Linked DNA regions of Diceros bicornis minor. The protein of the gene in region 2 interacts with the protein of the main gene of each other region in a pairwise test. Links are inferred from orthologs where the notes say so. Each region holds a gene or a part of one and is shown on either strand. Other genes may lie near its edges.

Region 1 (7,656 bases), on a different chromosome or scaffold from region 2:
TTCCTTCACACCTCCTCTATTAAAGGCTGTGCCAAACTCTGAGATAACCACTCCAACAGAAGACCATCAAAGGAAAAGATAAAATGCGAGCTTCAGAAGGGCAGGACCCTGGTAGGGCTTGGTATCTAGAAGCCATTCAATATTCGTTGAATAGATGAAGACTTCCCAATAAGAATAAAGAACATCTGACCATGTGTCTCCCCGGCTCAGAGCCTTCAACGGCTTCTGACTGCTCTCAGGATGAAGTCTAAATTCCTCAGTGTTGCTGACCAGCATCCTCTGAGATTCGGCCTGTTTGACCCTCTAGCTTCACTTGACCCCCCTCTAGGATCCAGCCATCCTGAGCCTTTGGCAGTTCTCACCTCTATCCTCATTTTCTAAGACTCTGCACATGTGGTTCCCCAGGCCTCAAATACTTGTCCCCACCTGCCCTCCTTTGCCCAGCTGACTCCTACGTGGCCTTTCAGTGCCTGGTAAAGGCTTGCTCCTGGCCAGGTTACTGTCCCAGGGGCTACTATGGGAGCTACTCTGACCTCCTGCACTGACCTTGCAACGGATGCTTGCCTATTTCTCCTTCTCACATCAGCTTCCCAAGGACAAGGACTGGGCATTTCTTGATCATGGTCCTGTCCCCAGTGCCTGACCCAGAGTTGATTCTCAGGAAATATTTATCAAAAGACTGCAAGACACCCATCTGGCAGGCTTGATCCAAGCAAACAAGCTATACGACTCTTTGGAATGAAGAGTTGACCCACGTGAGCTCACTCTTGAGAGCTGAGGTGGGGCCCAATGTACTCCTAAACCTACAGAACCCAGGGAGGACCAAGGACAAGTACGGGCCCCACTCACCCCTGCTCCTTCCCAGCCTATGTACCAACAACGGGGCTGTCAAAAACCCAAGACACACTCAAATGAGACCAAGAGGCTGCTGCAATTCTGACGAACACCACATACAGATTCTTGTTGGGTTTTGTCAGCTTGGGGTTTTCAGTTTGTGTTTTTGTTTATTTGAGTCTCCTTTAAATGACTTGGGGCAGCATTAGCTCTGAAGGTATTAGAGGCAGTCCCAGAATACACGTACTCCAAGCCTCTGCGTGCGGAAGGGATGAGGGCTCTCCCGGAGTTCTGCCGTCTCCAGGGCCGGAAGAAATGGCAGACTGAGGTGCACCACTCCCTGACCCTGGCACATTTGGTGTAGACCAAGCCAGTGACTTACGGTCGTGTATTAGAGTCTCATGTGTGATGTCCCCGACAACTCTTCAAATTTATCCAAATGCGAGCCATCCCTTGCTCATTCTAAACAATTTTCACTTACTTTAACCCCTTCCCTCCTCCTTAATGCCTTTATCTAAGGATTAGCATTAACAGTGGTAACATTAAAACAAAATAACAGACTGGAGAAATTTCCTACTTTCCTCTTAAAACTAGAGGGGGGAAACTTTTAAAGTCTTGAGGGTTTAAACAAAAAAGATTTTAAAACACATCTATCCTTATTGGAGAGCCTCTCGTGCAAGACTGAGATGTCGCGGCCCAACCCTGGTTAGTTGTGTACAAGGGGTATTAATTTCAGTGCAGGCATGAGGTGTCCATTTCAGAGCTAACAACTCCTAATAGCAGACAAGTACCCTAAAGGCGGCCTGCAGTAGGTGGACTCCACCTAATTTGCAACTACAGTCTCCCACTCAAACCTACAGCTGTTCAAAAATCTCCCAGTTCCTGGAGCAGGGAGCCTTGGAACAAAGCACTTTCCCTCCTCTTCGACGGTAAAACCTCAAACCACAAAGGTGGAAGAAAAAGAGAAGCCAGCAGGAGTGCCCCTCTAATTGTCTATTCTTATACGCTGTTTATTGGATCATTAAAACCTTACCAGGACTTCCTGGTAACTGTAACTGTTGAATTCAAGGTTTGTCTCAGCTATTTGCACAGAAATCTCGCACTTTCAAACTCAAGAATATTTTCCCTAACATCTCGTCTAAAAGGACTTTCCAAGCAATCTATTGACAAGACCCTTGAGTGATTCGTGGTCTCTGCAGGAGTGGAGGTGGGGCGCGCCACCCTGCACACCTGTTGTCAGGTGACACGGCCAGCAGCATCCTGCACACTCACCTCCCCACTCCTCCCCACCCCCAGCGAGTCTCTTCCCTCCTGGCCTCCTCCACCCAGGAGCCTACAGCCTTCCGGAGTTACCTTAAAAAAAAAACTCCCAACCACAAAGCAAACAAAAGGCCGATCAGGAGAGGAGCGAGAGCAGCGGGGGTTCCCGTGGTCCCTCTCCAGCCAGTCCCTGGATAGCCCCCTGCCCGCCCCTGCCTGGCTTCAGTCCGGCGAGTATCCCCCAGTCCCCCACCCTACGCTCCCGGCAGATGCCGAGCCAGACTTCTACACCACGGCCACCTGGGGCTCGGGCCCGACTTATTGTGCCGGGGCCGGCAACTCGCGGGCCGGCGGCCGCCTCACCAAGTACAACTCTGGGCACAGCAGCTCCTGGACGCCCAGGCCCAGGCTGGCCAGCCAGCGCCGCGGGGCCTCCTCCGGCCTCCGGCCCGGCCCGCACGGACCGGGAAGGGACGCCGGGGGAGGGGCCAGAACTGTCTCCTTCCCACAAAAGCGCCCAGGCGCGGGCAGGGGGACGCGGTTCCAGGAGAAGTTGGCTTCCGGGTTTGCTTTTTGAACAAAACCAAAGGGAATCCCGCGCGGCCCGGGCGGGGCCTTGGGAGGGCGCCGTGCGCGCGCGAGGCCCCGGCGTCGGCCGCACCGAGCGCTGCAGCCCGAGCCCGGCCGAGCGCCGCCCGGTGCGCGCCAGGCCCGGCCGCTCCCAGGCACCCGCGGCCGGAAGAGCGCGGCGGCCGGACCCGGGCGGCGGGGACGGGGCGCGCGGCGAGGGGCCCGCGCGGCACTTACGGGGCGGCTCGGCGACGGCGGCGGCAGCAGCAAGGTGTCCGGCCCGTGCCCTCTCGGCCGCTCGCGCCTTTTCTCTCCGCGCTCCTCGCTGGCCCGCCCGCGCTCCCGCCCGCCCGCCTCCTCGCTTCCCGCCCGCGCCGCGCGCTCGCCCCCTCCGCCCGGCTCCGCTGCTGAGTGAACTGGAACCAGTCGCCGCGGCCCCGGGATTCCCACAATGCACAGCGCGCCGCTCGTCACATCCCATCCCGTCCCCGCGCGTCCGGCCACCCCTCCCGCGCCACCCGGGCGCCCCGGCCTTGACCCCAGCCCGCGGTTGCGCGCGCGGCGGCCCTCGGCGCTCCGCCGCCTGGACGTCGGTCAGTCTGTCCCCTGGCTGCCCTGAGGCCCTGGCGTCTGGCCCTCCGCCCTCAGGCACGCCGCCTGGACGTGGACGCCGGACACAGGGTCCGGCCCTGAGCCTGGGGCGCGTCCTGAGCTAAGTCCTTGGAAAGGGTCGGGCCCCAGGCAGAGGCGCTCCTCCAGAACGCGTCCCAGCCTGTGTGTCTCGAGTGACACTGATTAAGCGCCTACGTGTGCCTGGCCCTCAGCACGGGCCTTTCGCTGCCTTATCCCTAGAAGTCTTCCCATTGATCCAGGGAGGGAGGCACAGTTGCTGTTACCAGCAAGCACTTTTCCCTCCCCAGCCAATGCAAACCTCCCGCGCTCCTCAGAGCCTCCCGCGGTCTCTAAATACTAACCCCATCACACTTGACCCCACGGCCAGCTGCTGCACATCCGGCTCCCCTCGGGCTCTTCATAGTGACCCTCAGAAGGCTGCACCTGCTTTGCGCATGGAAGCGTTAGCTACTTCGATTCAGCAAACGTTCTCTATTGGACCCAAGTGGGGATTTATTAATATAAACAGTGATTCTTTATCATCACACACTTTTTTTGAAACTGCGGACAAGCAGAAAGAGGAAGGGCCACCTCAAAGCCGGTCTTTGTATTGCTAAATTGTTTTCTCTCCCGAAGGCGTTAGCGGACCCTTCGGAGTACTTAAATAGGAGCCTTCCCTCTACTCTCCTCCTCTCCATCTGCCAAAAGCGTGGAAGGGGAAGCCACCTCAGCACCCAGCTGTGACCAAATTTAGATAACAATACACGCCCAGCAGAGTTGATGTGAGGTTTAGTGTACCGCTGCTGGAGGTGTTGGGGGGACGATTATGGAAGTCCTCAAAGACCCCTCCCAGCCCTCAGGCTGCCCCCTACAGCAGCGGTGGTAACCTCTTCTCCTCCAGATGATGATTTACACCCACCAAACTGTAACAGTTTGCAAAGCAGTGTCCAATGCATGCCATTCATGCATTCATTTCAATTAAGTACTGAGGTCTTACTTTGTGCCATGCATCAATTTGGGTGATAAAGATGAAGCAGTGAACCGAACAGGTAAAAATGCCCGCCCACCTGGGGTTTGCAGTCGAGTAGGGAAAGAAAGACAATAGGCAAAAGAGATGATGTGTCAGATGGTGTAAACACTGTGAAAAATAATAAGGCAGAGAAGGAGGATAGGGAGGGTGAGATGGGTTGGGGTTTCAAATTTTAGAGGCCTCCCTGAGAAGGTGACATTTAAGCAAAGACATGAAGGAATTGAGGGAGCAAACCACGTGGATATCTGGGGGAGAGTGTTCTAAGCATGAGGAACAGCAAGTGCAAAGGCCCTGAGGCAGGAATTGGACATTCCAAAATTGTCAAGGAATAATGAGTGTGCTCTTACCACAAAAAAGAAATGATATTTGTCTTTCATCTTTCTTTAGGGCTGAGTAGTATTCCTTTGTGTGTGTGTGTGTGTGTGTGTGTGTGTGTATATGTACACCACATCTTCTGTATCCATTCATCTGCTGATGAGTACTAAAGTGGTAAAGGGGCACATTTGTACAGTGACAGATGATAAATAGACTTTTAGTGGGGAGCACAATGTAGTCTATACAGAAAGCAAAATATAATGATGTACACCTGAAATTTTTACAATGTTATAAACCAATGTTTCCCCAATAAGAAAGAAAATTAAATTTAAAAAAAAGAAAATTATGTGATGTAAGTGTTAACTAACAGTAAGGTGGTAATCGTATTGCAATATATAAATGTATCAAATCAACACGTTGTACACCTTAAACTTACACAATGTTACGTGTCTAATATCTCAATTAAAAAAAAAGGAATAGTGAGTGTGAGGTTGGAGTGGAAGGAGCAAAGGGGAGAGAGTTACAGGAGGTGAGGCTGGAGAAATGATGATTCTTTGAGTCCCAAAACAAAGTATTTTGGCTGCATAAGGATCCCCCAGGGAAGCTGCAGAGGGGTGTCAGGGAAGGTGCAGAGACTACCTCATGTCATTGCTCTGCCCCTCCCTGGGTCCTTGGGCAAGTCTCAGCTCCGCAGGGGCCAGCCACCACGCAAGGTTTCTGTGGGCCATGGCAAGTCTGGAGGATGCCAGACTCCATTTATTCACTCAACAAACACTTGCTGTGCACCTGCTGTGTGCCAGGGTCGTGCCAGGCTCCTTCCCAGAGAGGAAAACTTTCTAGGTGTGTTACCACACTGTCCAGGCCCTGGTGCAAAACATAAGCAGTACTCCTGGAAACTTGAACGAGAGAGAACTGCTGGGCTGCGGGGAAGGCCAGGCTGTGTGGAGAGGGGGAGATGCTTGCAGCCTGCTGATGCCCTGGTAGTGGTCAGACCTGAGGCTGCTTCTTCCCCAGGTCCTGAGTGATGACCAAGGCCAGATGCAGAGGATGATTGTCCAATAGATCCCAATCTGCAACTCTAGGAAGCCAAGAAGTAACTCCCTCACCTCCAGCCCAGCATTGGTTTCTGACTCAGTTGATTTGCCTGGTGACTGGGAAGCGGGTAAAAGGCCGTTTCTTGCTCTCCATCTTATTGCACTCTCACCATCTGCCAGATCACGTATATCCCATCATTTCCTCCTCACAACAGCTCTGCAGACAGGCTGTTTCTGGGACGTTTCTATCCCCTTTGTACAGATGAGGACACTGTAGATTCAAGAAGCCAGGAAAAATGCCTGAGATCTCAGAGAAAGTAGGCTGGCACTGGGGTTCAAACCCACGTTCATCTGGGACCAGAGCTTTCATGTTCAGGCCTGAAAAGAGCCCCTCTGGGGGCTTCATTTCCTCTCCACCCAGCATCCGTCCTCCCCACACCTCCCAATTCAGAGTGGATCTTTTTGTCCCCACTCGGTCATGCACCACTGTCCTTGGGTTAGAGTCTGCACTCCTCCAAAAGCTGATCTTGGTGCCAACTCCACCCCCTACACCCCTCCACAGCGTGCCATTCTCATAGAACTCACTAGAAATATTGTCCCCTGGCGTTGTTCAAGGCAGAGGCCCTGTCTCCAGCTCGCTCCAGAAGGCTCCACCCTCTTTCTCTCCAGCAATTTGCATGCCCTGTTCTTCCATCTGCGTGACCTGTCCCCTTCCCCAATCTGGCTCAGGGGGCTTCCTCAGCTTCTTTTTTTTTTTTTTTTTTGGTGAGGAAGATTGGCCCTGAGCTAACATCTGTGGCAGTCTTCCTCTATTTTGTATGTGGGACGTCGCTATAGCATGGCTTGGTGAGTGGTGTGTAGGTCCGCATCCAGGATCCGAACCTGCAAATCCCGGGCCACCGAAGCAGAGTGCGCAAACTTAACCACTATGCCGCCAGGCTAGCCCTCAGGTTTTTTTTCCAATTGCAAAATAAATGCATGTTCACCACGTAAAACTTGGAAAATAAAAATGTGCCAAAAATAAAAATCACCCTAAGTACACCACTAGAAGAGAACCACTGTTCGCCTTCCAGCCTTTGCAACCATATCTACTTAATATTGAACATATTCAGGTTCCTACTGCGTTTAGTGCTTATCACGTGCTTTTTAAACTTAATGGTCCTTTATGAACATTTAACCAGGTAGTTATTCTACAACAGCAGTTCTCAAACTATTTGGGTTCAGACCCCCTTTATCCTCTTAAATTATTGAGGACTGCAAAGAGCTTTTGTTTGTGTGAGTTACAGCTATCAACAATTGCTCTATTAGAAATTAAAACATAAATTTTAAATATTTATTAATTTATTCATTTTTATTCATAAATAAGATACTTTGTGTGTGTGTGTGTGAGGAGATGAGCCCTGTGCTAACATCTGCCAATCCTCCTCTTTTTTTTGCTGAGGAAGACTGGCCCGGGGCTAACATCTGTGCCCGTCTTCCTCCATTTTATATGGGACGCCGCCACAGCATGTCTTGCCAAGCAGTGCGTGGGTGCGTGCCCGGGATCCGAACCGGTGAACCCCGGGCCGCCGCAGCAGAGCGCACGCACTTAACTGCTTGTGCCACTGGGCCGGCCCCCAATAAGATACATTTTAAAAATGGAAAGTTACATGTTAACATAAATAACATATTTGTTTAAAAAATAATTATATTCTCCAAACAACAAAAAAATTTAGTGAAAAGAGTGGCATTGTTTTGCAATTTTACACATTTCTTTAATGTCTGGTTTCATAGAAGCTAGCTAAATTCTCATGTCTCCTGTATTCAATCAGTTGCTATGTGTTGTTTTGTTTGAAGTATGTGAAAAAAAATCCAGCCTTACACAGATATGTATTTGGGAAAAATAGATGATTTTAATAGCCTTTTCAGATAATTTTGGGTGTTCGTCTTTGACACTACATCAAAATTCAAAAAGTAGTAGTTTCTCACATCTTAACTACAATGTAGAATCTGAGACCAATC
Region 2 (7,361 bases):
AAACTACAATCACTTTAAATTAAGACACACAATTGGAGATAGTAACATATTATTGAAGTTCTGATGAATCAAAGAATCATGATGTAAAGCCCATGGAAATTAGTTATCTACGTTATTGGTTGAAAAGGGAAAATTGTGGAGCACAAATATGTCACTGTGGTAGTGTGCTGTCTCCAGCATTACTCAGAGAAGAGCGGAGAACGATGGGATTCGGGTTGCTCCCAGTGTGAACCCTGATGGGGTCTAGCCTGAACTGGCAGCCAACTTTCCCCTTCCCATCTTATTAAAGTGATTAAGTACAATCAACCTTTTTTTAAAAATTGCTGTTTCACATATATACTAGTATTTAAATTCATCCACATACCAAGAATTGGAAACAATCATCATTTACATGAGGCCTAAAATGACAATGTTTTGGATCCAGGCTCCCTCTACTGTCTCTGCAATAATAAACAAACATTTTATGGCACTCTCCTGACTAGATTCCCGACTAGATGAAAGTCAAAGCAAATACCATCTTGTGCAATAATAAAGGATATCCTTAGTATGATAATCAGGAAGTTCAATATTTGGAGAAAGTTGAAAAAATTATAAACTAGTTAATGAAATATTTACAAAGATAGAACCACATGAAGTTGTCATTATGACCGTTTTTTAATCCGGAAATGGCAATTTCATTTGGTTCAACCTTATATACGAACATTAATTGTCAAAGACTAGTAGGGTGTGTGTGTGTGTGTGTGTGTGTGTGTGTGTGTTGGGGGAGGGGGTTATTACTTTCAATAAATAATCTCTATTATGAAATTCCCTAAACACATTGGTTAATTTGCATTATGTTTCTTGACCAAACTCAACTACAGGACATGTTAAGTCCGGTGCCTTATAGGGAGGGATGTGTGTATAATAACTTGGGTTTAGAAGAAAGAAATCTGCCTTCAGGTTAAAAAGTGTGAAGATACAAAATGTTTCACACAGGAAGGTAAATGAAAGAAATGTAGAAAAGCTCTGTGTTTACAAGAGTAAAGCTGGAAATAAAATAGTTAACATTTTAACCCTGAGAGGAGGAAGTAGGGCCAATTTGCATAGACTTCAAACAATCTCACACTTTTGAGAAAACCTGCAAATCCTGGAAAGAATTAGAAGTAAAAGCCAAAGTCAACACACTTCAAATACCCTTGATGTTTCACAGTCACTAACGAGAAAGCATCTTTTGGTAAGTTCACACTTGGCACAAAATAAATATTAATTCTGTTGTTGGTAATTTTCCAAAAAGTTAATATTTTACAGTTCAGGATTTTATTTCCTAAGTTTGCCTTTGAAGCAGGAAAAATGCTTTTTGAAGTTATGTTTTCATAGTCCTAGAAATTCAGTCTAAAAATGAAGGATGCTATCGAAGATTTATGTACAAAGATGTTCACTGAAACCTTATATTTATAGTGACTGTTCACCACTTAAGTCTTATGCCTAGCATAGCACCTAGTATGTAGTAAGCACTCAATAAATATTCTTGAAAGAATTAATCACAGGAGAAAATTTGAAAATTTCCAAATTGGGGATGGTTAAATGATTATGGGTAAATTGTGACTTATTATATAATATTATATATAATTTTGATTATATGTAATTATTAAAAATGTTTTGAAGACATTGGGGAAATGTTAAGACACTGGAGAGAATGTTAAGCTAAACAGATGTTAACAATGTGTACACTATCTAATAAAAATTTTATAAAGTAAATATATATGTGCATACAAAAAGGCTAAAAGGAAAAATAAAATTATTGATTGAGGTGGTTTTAATTTTTTTCCTTGTATTTCCTCTGTACATTGCAAATTGTCTATCATGAGTGTGTGTTACTTTTATAATCAGAAAAACATTAAATGTTATTTATGATTTTTTATGATGCTCTGCTAACATTCAGATCTGTAATAAAAATTTATCCATTAAAAGTCATGGAGCTAAATAAAAGGTAGTTGTTGTGCAGAGATTCAATATTTGTACATATAATAGTGGCTTTTCCCCTTCACTTTGATAGAACAAACCTTCACTAGATACTTTTGGTAATTTATTCAGTGGCCTGAATGCAGAAGCCAGAGCTAAACTGTTCTCTACTTTTGAGTATTACACCAATAACAACTTGTGTACAAAAGTTATAGAGATAGGTGAATTATTTCTCAAGTTATACAAGCAAAGATGAAATGTAATGTTTTTTCATCAGAGAGAAATAAAATAACCATCATGGATTCAAATAGGCACTGGGCCAGGCTCTTTACCTAAATGATCTTCAATCCTTACAGCTACCCTGGTAGTAGGTACTTTTATTCATATACATATTATAGTAGAAGTAATAATAATAGCTGAGTTATTGATCAATTGTCACATGCCAGGCTCTGTGTCAGGGTCTTATTTTTCTCTCATTTCATGTTTTAAGCTATGGGGGCAAGTAGTGTATATTACTCTCACTTTTTACTTGAAGACCCTGAGGCCCGAGGTGGAAGCCAGATCTAACCACTCCTCCATGTGGAGAAATATTTTTATTCTCTATCATTAAATCATTTTTGCCCCTTCTTTCAAGAACAATAAACAAACATTGAAAACACTGCATTCTACAAATGGATTTGATCTTCTTTGGGGGGGTGGGGGTGGAGGGGTAAGAAGAGGAAGCTTAATCAGTTAGAGTTGAGGTTTTCTTACTTTCCTTGGAATAGGACAATGGGAATAGCCAGTCAGACATTACCCATTTATTGGTACTAAGCAAATTCATCAAAATGAATGTTTTCAAAGGTATTGGTAAAGAAATATAATGAATTTCCCTTTGCCTTGTTTAAACGAAAAGTCTTCAATCACACTTAAGACATCAGCTATGTAAGGGTGTTCCCATAATAGAGCAGGTAGTGGTTTGCCATGTCCTTATCAAACCAGGATGTATTTGTCAATGACTTCATTGAGTTCTTCAAAAAACTTCCATTCTGGCTTTTTTCCTTTACCTCTTTCCTACCATCCAGGTTCCAAGGAGATTTAGAGTGAATGTGGACAGATGATTAAGAGATTTTAAAAATAACTGAATCTCTGTATACTCTTAGTTCCTGAAATGGTCCAGCTGGTTCTATTTTTATAATAATAAAATTGCCATTTTTTTAAGTATTTTCTACATGTCAGAGCTTTATACATTTTATATCATTTGAAGCTCACAACCATCTTTCAAGGGCACCTAACCCCAGAGGTTAAATACCGATTATACTGCATATCATGTGGCTACTTTAGTGAAATTCGAATCCAGATATGATTCCAACTAACGGGCTTCCTTCAAAACACGTTGCCTAGCAACAAATCGATCCTAGTGATTTCCCTACATCCCAAGTGGAGAAAAACAACCAATTCCTTCCTAGACGCCAAGCTTGAGAACAATTAGAATTTTCTAATAGAAATGTTCCCCCACCCCCTTCTGTGACCAAAGCAGTTATTTAAGCAGTAAAACCTCCCATTGGCCAACGTCAATTTCATCCGGGACTTGGCCCCTGCTGGTAAGGAGAGGAGAATCCCTGGTTCTGATCACGCGAAGCTGACTTCTGGGGAAACTGGCGTCCAGAAACCCCCAGGAAAACCATAATCTTTTGGGGGCGACCTCAGGTTGGGGGACCAAGTCCCACAGGGGACATTTGTTCATCCACATCCAGGGACAACCCTCTCTCCCAATTCAAGTCTTCTCCTTTTACTCCACAAGTTTAAAGTTAACGAGGGCACCCCGCCATTTTCCCTCTCCTCCCTAATAATAGGATCAGGTATGGACAAAGATATTCCAAGCCCGCTCCCTTCTGCCCTTCTCACTGTAACCAGTGCGCGTGCGGACGTGCGTCCCCAGGTGTATGCACCCAATTCGCGGCCCGGATGGACCTCCAGAACCGCAGAGATCTCCGGGTCCCGAGTCTCTCGCCCCGCCCCTTTCGTGACTCCCCGAGTTTGCTCCGCCCCCGTCACACCCCCGCCCTGCCCCTCAGTCTTGTCCCAGGCTCGCCAGGCCCCACCCCGCCCCCTCAGCCCCGTCCCGGCCTTGTTCCGCCCCCTCGGCCCCGCCTCTCAGGCGTACCCCGGGGGGTCTCCCCGCCCCGCCGCGCTCCGTCTGCCTCGCGCGCTCCTCTGCTCTCAGGGAGCACCCAGCCCCTTCCTCGCCCCTCCGCGGCTTCCCGAGCTTGCCCCGCCCCCGCCCAGTCCATTCAGTGTTTCCCCTCGGCTGCTCCCGAGGCTCGGGCTGCGCTTGGTCTCGTCTCCATGCCGACGCGGCGTCTGTGGCTCCTCATTACGAGCCCCGCGCGCACTGCGAGCAGGGGTGGCCTTCGGTGTCTGCCCTTCCGAGGGTCGGCGTGAGAGGGCCACAGCGGGTAAGAGGCGCCGCAGTGACGGCCGGTCGGCTTCTCCCCATCCCCGCGTGCAGCCCGACCCAGCCCTCACCTCGGACCCCCGCTAGGCCCGGCGGCTGAACCCAAAAACCTCTCTGCCCTTTCCAGGTTCGGGCTCTGGGGCCCCACCGCCGTCGAGGCGGCGCGCGCGAAGGTAGGATCCGCGAGGCTGGTCGCGCTTGCCTTCCTCTTCTGACTGTAGTCGGGCACTGAGGAAGGGATGTTTCTGTCTACGTGGGTGTGAGTGATAACTGGGCAGTTCTGACAAGCGTGTCCACACCACCATTCTCTGACCTGCGGATTCGCACGCGCTCCCCCCCCCCCCAAAAACCCAATGAAAATAGCCACATTCCATCTCAGGGCTTCCCACTACTTCTCTCGGTTCTCGCCCCCCCCCCCCTTAAACCTTTCTCTTACTCTTTAACTTTTACTTTTCTTTGGAAACCGCTTAATGGCCAATAGGAGCAAGCACTCACTGGCTGTAGTTGAGACACCATTACTCGCTAGATATACCTTCTCGGCCATAAAAAATTTCGCTGGAATTTGGGAAATTATTTAACCTCCCCGGCCTTGTTTTCATTTTCTGTAAAATGAGGAGCTTGAACAACGAATCCCTTCTAAGGTCCAGTCTTCGGCCTCCTTTGAGATGAGGAAGTTGACATGAGATTTTCAAAAGCAAGATGTCGTGGTCTTTTGACTACTCAAACTACACTGCGCCCCTGTAGCGTTTAAATTAACACATGGAGTAATTATAAATTTATCATTTGGCTTCCCTGAGGATATAGGTGAATTGGATGTATCGGTTCTTACCCCAAAAGACCCTTGGAAGTTGCTTTTTAAAAATAAATCTGAAAAAGACCCATCCAGTCTCCATTGTGCACTTAAAACTGGCTTCCTTAGAGTTCCCCTTCAGCGCTGTCCTTGCTAGGCTGTCGGTAATAATAATAGTAATAGGAGGAGGAGGAGTTGTAGTAATTATAATTGTAGTAGGAGATAGGTGCTACCATTATTTATTATTAGCTATTTATATTAACTCTCACAGTAACTCTATGAGGTAGGCAGTATTTTTATCTTCGTTTTATAGTCGAGGAAAATGAATCATGGAGAGGTTAAGGAGCTTGCTCAAGGTCACGCAATTTGCTGGAATTTGAATAGGCAATCTGACTTCCGAGTCTGGGCTCTTAGCACTATATTATGCTGTAAAGGAAATATATAAAATTTATATGTAGTCGTTTTAAAATATAAATGTAGGTGATAGATGATCATTGAAACCATTTTTATATACATTTGAGACTTTGCAAGGAAATATTGCCCCTGCATCCTATTATGTTTCCCCACTAAGCTCCTCTAGGTTGGAGGATGGTGCTTAATCAGCTCCCTCTCTCCTCACCACAGTTGCAGGGCCTGAGCATGTAGCTGTCTATTTCTTAATTCATTCTTTGCCTATTAGAATATAAGGTAGCTTATAAAAACAAATAGTACAACAGGATAAAATAATTGCACAAGTGAGATGAAGAAAAAAATACGTCTTCCAATATTACAAGAGAAACCAAAAATGAGAATTTTGTGAAATCTGAATTTAAACGTTGGTAAATCATTTTATAAAAGATTTTTTTGAAGCCTATCGAATCCAAATAAAACCTATTTGGCCCTATTGGCTGGTGGTTAGTGAACACTTACCTAAAGAAATGGAGATATGAGATGTTTTACATTCTTTTTTTGGTACTAAGTCTTTACAATCTAGTGTGCATATTTCAAATTGAACTAATAACATTTTAAGTGCTCAATACCACATGTGGCTGGTGGCTACCATATTGGGCAGCGAAGCTCTAGTTTAATACATTCTTTTCCTTTGCTTTCTTATTTCCTTCCTTCCCATTCCACTCGTTCAACAAATATTTATGCACTAGACACTAGAGATTTTTTTTTAAGGTGGCATGAGTTTATCTGTTCTTTGTAACCCAAAAAACCAGCTGAACTAATTGGGCCGTTGACTGAGGTTTTTGGTTATAGAGGGAGTCGACTTTTCCTTAAAGCCTAGAATTATATCATGTAAAACTCAAGAATTACTGGGAGCCATGTTTTGCACCTAAGTGTAGAAAATCTGTCTTCAATGAGAGGGAAGAATGAGGCCCACATGTGGAAGAAGCTGAGACAAACAAGGAACAGGGATGTCCCACTCACCTCCTTAACACAGCTGTCTGTATCCACTGTGTCCTGACTTCCACACTGTTTGGGTATTCAACTCTTGGATTCTTTGAGCCAACAGTTCTCTTTTTTTGCCTATGCTAACTTGAGTGTGGTTTTTGCCACCAAGAGTCCAGACTCATATAGCTAAGAAGCCAAGAACCAAGCCCTTTCTTTTAGAAATAAGCCCATGATGCACCCCCACCCTGCTATGCCCGACCCCCAAAGTACATTTTTATTTACATAATACGTAGAATATTTTCAAACATATATAATTACATAATTATGCCTTTACAAATCATTTTGTCATGTACATTTTATATGCTTATTTAACCAGATAACATTCGTCTTCTGATTAATACTACCCATCTTTCTATGTGAGTCTTTCAGTATTTTTTTCTTAATAAGAATAAATCTATATCTGCTTTTCCCCAACTCTTTTCTCTGAATCATCCTTTCCAATTCTATGGGCCTTTCTTTTTATAAGATCATTCTAAACCAGGTAAGTTACTTTATATCATTCCAATGGTTTTATTCATTCAGTCAATATCTGAGTGCCTTTAAAGTGGTGTGGGAGCCACACTCATGAGTAAGAACCAGTTTCTGCTCTCCAGAAACTTCTGTCTTGGTTGTACAGTCATTCCCTCACTCTGTAGTTATGTGTCTACAATATTGCTTGTGTGCATTTCCTGGACTGATTTTTTTTTTCCCTCCACCCGCTTCTTAAATGTTGGTATTTCGCAGGATTCTGTCCTTGGCCTTGTCTTATTCTGCATG

What was found.
Region 1: the proteins of ERICH2 (region 2) and core histone macro-H2A.1 interact in binary tests that used the Homo sapiens proteins (3 or more experiments, as listed by UniProt). The two-hybrid records come from large-scale screens. The link is inferred for Diceros bicornis minor from reciprocal best matches to the Homo sapiens genes ERICH2 and MACROH2A1.

What each region holds. Positions count from the first base shown.
Region 1 is NC_080740.1:54,404,678-54,412,333, forward strand, and holds the start of core histone macro-H2A.1, read right to left. Parts: upstream 3,004-7,656; 5' UTR 2,902-3,003; intron 1-2,901. UniProt on the Homo sapiens protein: Variant histone H2A which replaces conventional H2A in a subset of nucleosomes where it represses transcription. Nucleosomes wrap and compact DNA into chromatin, limiting DNA accessibility to the cellular machineries which require DNA as a template.
Region 2 is NC_080749.1:52,232,891-52,240,251, forward strand, and holds the start of ERICH2 (glutamate-rich protein 2), read left to right. Parts: upstream 1-4,357; 5' UTR 4,358-4,379; intron 4,380-4,505; 5' UTR 4,506-4,551; intron 4,552-7,361.